Linked DNA regions of Caenorhabditis elegans. The protein of the gene in region 2 purifies or fractionates together with the protein of the main gene of each other region. This does not show direct contact. Each region holds a gene or a part of one and is shown on either strand. Other genes may lie near its edges.

The links. Proteins that work in one complex are often made in the same cells at the same time.
Region 1: the proteins of hpo-8 (region 2) and dif-1 fractionate together in Caenorhabditis elegans (co-fractionation; one large-scale study listed by BioGRID). This does not show direct contact.

What each region holds. Positions count from the first base shown.
Region 1 is NC_003282.8:7,551,147-7,554,589, forward strand, and holds dif-1 (Protein dif-1), read right to left. Parts: upstream 1,729-3,443; 5' UTR 1,719-1,728; coding exon 1,424-1,718; intron 1,350-1,423; coding exon 856-1,349; intron 742-855; coding exon 592-741; 3' UTR 511-591; downstream 1-510. Other genes in the region: oef-1 (C2H2-type domain-containing protein), read left to right, coding at 223-272; F49E8.6 (Early nodulin-75-like), read right to left, coding at 2,509-2,670, 2,716-2,979, 3,025-3,099. UniProt on the Caenorhabditis elegans protein: Seems to play a role in the maintenance of tissue differentiation in the developing embryo, but not for its initiation.
Region 2 is NC_003283.11:6,837,727-6,840,754, reverse strand, and holds hpo-8 (Very-long-chain (3R)-3-hydroxyacyl-CoA dehydratase hpo-8), read right to left. Parts: upstream 1,467-3,028; 5' UTR 1,460-1,466; coding exon 1,410-1,459; intron 1,351-1,409; coding exon 1,233-1,350; intron 1,184-1,232; coding exon 1,076-1,183; intron 1,025-1,075; coding exon 900-1,024; intron 848-899; coding exon 592-847; 3' UTR 501-591; downstream 1-500. Other genes in the region: lgc-54 (Ligand-Gated ion Channel), read left to right, coding at 3-102, 150-234, 288-469; T15B7.15 (GRIP domain-containing protein), read left to right, coding at 2,211-2,276, 2,335-2,457, 2,505-2,646, 2,703-2,856. UniProt on the Caenorhabditis elegans protein: Catalyzes the third of the four reactions of the long-chain fatty acids elongation cycle. This endoplasmic reticulum-bound enzymatic process, allows the addition of two carbons to the chain of long- and very long-chain fatty acids/VLCFAs per cycle.

The sequences.
Region 1 (3,443 bases), on a different chromosome or scaffold from region 2:
ACGTTTGAAAAGAAATTTTTATTGATGATTATAATTTTCGGTGTTTTTAAAACTTTTTTTCAATACAATTTCTTCCAGAAAGGTTAGGTTTTCTAAAAAAGAATTTCTAAATTAAAACTACTCATTTCCAGAATACTCTTATTTAGTGTAGGTTTTTCAATTAATGAAATTCAATTTAACTCCAATCATCACTATCCCAATCGTTTAAAATTGTGAAAATAGTTTCAGAAAGTGAACCTGGCAGTCTTCAGAGCGTCATCGATCTAGAATAGTCTTATCTTAAATGTTCCCCTGTTTTTTTTTCACCATACCCGTTGTACTCTTTTGTTTCGATAATTGTTCTGCATTTAATGAACCTGTTTCTCAAAAAAAATTGTATAGCGACAGCTGAACACGGTAAATATAATTCAACATTGAGCACTTCTTGAAGTTCATCAAAAAATTTACGATTTTCATGTAGAAATATACACAACATACAAATGCCCAAAACATGGAAATAGAAGGCAACTCGGGTAAATGTTTTTGAATAATGAAAAAAATATCAAATAAATATGGTATAAACTAATTAGAAAAATGAGAATTTTCAAAAATTTACTCGTCGTGTGGGAGTGGAACAACTTCTGTAGATGGTGTTGGGTGTCCACCAATGCCAAAGTAACGGAAGGCAGCCAACGTGAGTTCAAGTCCGAAGAAACAGGCAGCGTTTGCAGGGAAAGCACGGAGCATTACTGGCCAGAATCCCTGAAATTTATACAAATTGTAGCTAGAAATCAGGTAAAGTATATATGTATGTAAATGTGTCGAGAAATGACGAAAAATTCACTTGCATCGTCCCAATCGTTTAAAAAAAATCACCTTGAACAGAGCTCTAGGACCCTCTTCGCGAAGAACCTCTCTCAAAACTCCACGGATTCCATCTGGATACTTTCCTTCAGGGGCTGTTTGTAATCGAGATTTGAGAACATCAGCTGGAATACACACTCCCCAATTGGCAATACCAGCAAGTCCTCCAGCCATCAATGTTGCTCCTGGTGACAATGTTCTTTGAGCTCCTTCTCCAGAGAATTTCTTTTTTAGATATTCATATACTGAAAGATAAGCGGCTGAAGCTGGGATGTCTCTGAGCAGAGTGGCACCAGTTCCTCTGTAGATTGATGAAATTCCTCCTTGTTTATATAGTTTTTTGACAACATCAAGTGGACCATCGTAATGAACTCCAGAACCAGCAGATCCAGCTTGCTGAACTTGAAGAAGACACTTGATTCGTTCACCAGGAACCATCACAATTGTTGTGAAGACTCCAGCAAGAGCTCCAGCATTAGCGTTTTGGATGAATGTCATCTCCTGGCCTGAAATGCAAAATGGTAAGATTAATTCTCATATTTTCAATTTATTTGTTTGCCCATGATGATTTAGTACTAACTTGGATCAGTTTGCTGCAGCCATTTTCCAACTGCACATCCTCCGAAAAAAACTGCAAAAAGTGGAGAAACACCAACAAGTGGAGCTGCCATTCCTTTGTAGAGGGCAAAAAATCCTTCTTTGGAAACTGTTCGTTTGACACAATCAAGAGCTCCGGTAAATTGTGGCTTCTCCCCTGGTTTTGGCATTGGCATAGTTTGAATTCGGACTTTGACAGTATCGAATGGATGTCCGACGATTACGGTACATGATCCACCGACTCCTCCTGCGATGAAATTCAGAAGAACGTCCGACATTTCAATGCGTCTGAAAAATAAAATGTAAAAACTTCGATCTGATGGCTGAAATTTTCCGATATTAAGTAAGGTTAATGTAGAAATTAAGTGGTTTTTTGATTTAAGAAAAATACCTGAATCCTGTTATTTAAAAAAAGGGTGATAATATTTAGTTTTGTTCAAGTTAATACATTTCTGAATTTAAGAAAACCCTGTCAGGCCTTGTAAGAAATGTTTAACTTATCTTAACTTATCTTATCAAAGAAAATTGCACTTTAAACGCTAAATTTCGAATATAAAATTTAAAATTGGATTTTTAGGAGTTTTTAAAGAACAGTAAAGCTTTTTTATCCTATTTAGATCGATAGTGGGAACGAATGTTTACGAAGATATCAACAACAAAAGGAAGATAAAAAAATAAGTGAAGAAAATGTTTGTGTGTCCGACCACGTCGTTGCTGTGAGGGTTCGCCACAAATAACAGCCAATGAACACAGAGATTGCTGGACTACTCTCCGAGAAAGAGAAGATAACGAAACGTTATTGAGATAGTACAGAAACCGGGGAGACGCAGATAGCATTCGTTTTTTGCACTTTGCCCTTCAGGAAGACTACATCGTGGCTTATTTGTAGTCTTGGGAGAAAATAAATGCATAAATGTGGTTTGATCAAAATATCGTTCAGGTAAAATGACTAAATTAAGAGCACAAAAAATGAAATCGCAGAATAATTATGATTTAGTATGCAAACAGCAATCACAGATGCAAAGGGAATACAGTGTTGAAAATGTTGAAAAATCTTCAGCGAAATTATCATAGTTTTTCTTTCACTTCCTGCGAGAGAACCTGTTCGTAGGTTGGAGGTGGCGGCAGGTTGCCTGAAGACGTCGGGAGTGTTGGTGGAGCAGATGAAGATGGACCTGGTGGTGGAGCACAGTAGGGAGGGGCGAACGACGGGGTTGAGCTGTTGCCATGCTGAAAGTGGGTATGGTAAAGTTGAAATTTAAAAATGTGTGTTACCGAGTAGAAGTAATACGATCCTGGAGCAGGGGGAATGTTCCTGTCTGGGACTCGGTTTGAGAAGTCTGGTCCGTCGAGGAATCCCTCACAGAAGTTGTCGTAAGCCCCAGGCAGATCGGTTCTTGCAAATGCGACTGTAGTAGTTGGAACCGATTGGAGTTGTTGGCCAGCGGAGGTGAAGTAGAACTCGTTTTGTTGAACAAGCGGACCTTGTGGATATGTTGGCATCGGATAGTGGGCAACTTGCGGAGGAGGTGGAACGGCCTAAAAAAATCAAATTATTCATGATTTAAAGTTAAGTAAACTTACACTTTGCTTCGGATAGCTTGGTGCTTCATTCATTCCACTTTTCTTATCGGTTTTCTTGCTTCCAAAAAGTGGCATTTTTCACTTCTCGTCGATCTCAGAGCAAAAAAAAAGAAATGAAAAGAGCAGCAGCGTGAGAAATGAATCAAGATCGATGAAAGCGCGCTCTCTGCTGTCCACAGATGAAAATGCCTAGCAACGACTTACAAACTCGCTCACTGATCAGTTTTCAGTGCACACACTAATCAGAATAGCACTGAAAAACTTATTCGCGTTTAAGTTGAAACAAGTGGAAGAGAAACAAGTGAAGTCTCGTCCTACGGCCGGGATACACATAAATTTATGTTGAAAAAGGAAAAAAGAGCAGAGAAACAAAGAACAGAGAAAACAGCATTGAGAATAAACAGAACAGACAACGAAAG
Region 2 (3,028 bases):
AGAAAAAAAGACAGAAAGAAAAATAACTATGGTGCAACTACAGTAACCAATGCAAATGCAGCAGAGAGCGACTTGAGGAGCAATTATGATGAGCCTTTTTCAGTGAGATTATTGATTTTTTTTATTATTTTAAATGTATTATCTTTTAGCAGAACGGGACTACAAGCCATAAAATTTCAATTTCTCGACAAGCGAACAATATGTTCGAATCTTTGCACGCTCTCGCACAATTCGGTACTTTTAAATAAATTTGTGCATCGTTTATTCTCTAAATATTACTTTTCCAGGACTCCTCACGGATGACGATGACGAAAATACCAAATGGACTGCACAAAATGTCGACAAATTCTGCAGAAAAGCATTTCCATTGTCGTTTTGTTTTCTGAATCTCATATATTGGTGTTATTATTTATACCAGAATTATTTGGCAAAGGCCGAAGCTCTTGCTCAAATGACGCCACCATCCTGATTTTCGGGTGACTGTTTTTTTAGAAGACATTACGGGAGAATAATTTATGAATAAAGTTGAATTTTGATTGGTTGCAATTAATCTAGAATACACTGTAATATAAATACACGTAGAATTTTTCTTTACTGCTTCTTCTTGCTTCCTCCGCCGAGAATCTTCTTTCTTTGACCGATCATGTAGAAGTAAAGTTGTGGGAATCCGGGAATGTAGCTGAGAGCAGCAATGATGAGCACCCACCAGAAGGAGATTCCCATGTTGAGACGGTTTGGCATCTCGAGGGTAAGGATTTTCTTCTCATCAACTTCATTTAATGAAGCGAACAACGTCAGAAGCTCTCCGGAGACTCCCATTGGGTAGAGAACGTAGAAGAGGGTGTATCTGTAATTAAAATAGTTGAGTTATAGCATTGATCCCCAGAATCTCAAAATACCTGAGGTAGAGAAGGAAATATGGGATTGGTTGTTTCAATACGCTGAGTGCATAGAACGAGTACCGGATGACCTCTGTTACGGACCAGGCAACAAGAAGAAGTGGAACTCCGATACTGAAGCGAGCCTAAAAATTGGTTTAATTTATTCAAGTTTAAGATAAAAAATTCCAACTCACTGTTGAGCACAAGTGGAGGATTGGCCAGACAAGGACGACGCGAGATGTTACTTGCATTGCGGTAGTTCCAACTGGTGAACGAACAAGTCCGACAATTGCGTGAATGACCTGAATATGATAATTTCTTTAAAAGTTTTTCAATTTCAACAAAGCTAACCTCGAGAATAGCTGCGGTTTGGAAGATTTTAAGCTCAAATTCCACCGATTCGTAAAGTTGTGGCCATGTCAAGCCATTAGCGAGTCCAAGAACTGTTTTCACAAGAATTGCAGACCATCTGAAATTAATTTAAATTATTAAAATTATAGTGAACTTCTTTCAGAAAAAAAAACGTACCCTAAAATTTGTAACACGTTGTACGCAACCAGATACGTCTGAACGCTCATTGTTACCCTGCAAAAATAAGGATTTTAGGCAATGCAAAGAAAAGAAAATGAGAAAAGTATATCACGCCACACGAAAAAAAAGATGAAAGGGTAGAATGGAGTGATGTACAACAGAAACGTTATCAGTCAACTTGCGGGGAGTTTGAAGAAACATTTAGCGAAAACATAAAATGGGACATTTTATGTAATGTAAAACATTGGTAAAATTCGAAAGTTTAATTGAAAATATATAAATCTTCATACGATATCTTGGTTGATACAGGAAAAATGTAAATTTCTTAGTTTTTCAGAAAAATTATGAGAGCGAGGTTATTTATTTTTAATAAAAATTGAAGACTTCAGTTTTTTAATTGGAAATTAATCAAAAAATCTAGAAATAAATCACTTAAATTAAGAAAATGAAAGAAAATAATTTTTAAAATTTTAATTCTTAAGAAACATTTTTCTTGACTACAACACTCCGAAATAACCCTTCGCGCTTTGTTTATCGTAAATCTACATCAGGGCGTTTTTGGGGACAGTTTAAAAAATAATTTTTTGTGGAACAGGAACAGGAACTTGAAGCAGTTTTTTTTGTTCTTGTATTAAAATATTAAATGTAATTTTGAAACTAAAGAAGACTTATTTATATTTAAGCAAACGCAGGAAATTAGTTGTTGCACCATGGACGGAAATTGAAATTTTATGGCTGACTGATCTGAACTCTAGACATTCTGAGTTCTTTTACGTATTACTTTAGTTACTCACAACTATGATTTCTAAACAACGCCAGGATTCTGATGAAAAACCTCTCGAGGAACAGTTAGAGTTACTGCAGGTGGTTTTAATTTTTGAAAATATTATCAAAATTACTTTAAATTTTATGCTTCATTCAGGAAAAAATCGCAGAAATGATAGTAACAAATGAGGCGACCGAGAATCAGTTGACAAATTTAACATTCGAGTCGAACGATGTGATTATTTATCTGAAAAAATTGGTTGAAGAGAAAGACGAAGAGGTAAGAGAGGAATTAGAGAAAAAGGCAAAGAACGAGCATTGTTTCAGACTGCTCGTTTGGAAGAAATGTTGGAAGAACAGAGAAAAGAATCAGATAGAATGTTTAAAATTCATAGAGATAATTCTGAATTAGAAGAGAAGAAATTGAAAGAGCAAATTGAAAAGTTAAAGAGTGAAATGAGCATTATGGGTAGGCCGAAAAGAGAATAGTGAAAGTAGAATTAAAAACTTTTTCAAAATTTTTAGATACACAACTGGGAAACCAGCATCGTATCGAGCTAGAAATCATTGAGATGGGTGCAAAACTGAATTCTCTACAAGGTGTCGTTGATGAACAGGAAGAGACAATTCGAAGAAAAGAAGCAGAAGAAAGAAGCGTCAAAATTGCAGCTATTGAGCAGTAGGTTTCAAAAAATTGTATAAATTGAGGGGTTACGATGGTAGATGGGCTCGCCTTCGTGCCTATTTGTCTGCGTCTGCCTAGAGCCTACACGCCTGAACGGCTCCCTAAAATTTTGCAACAAAAATTATTAGTCAAAAATATATATTTCAGTTCCTAAAACCTACTAAAC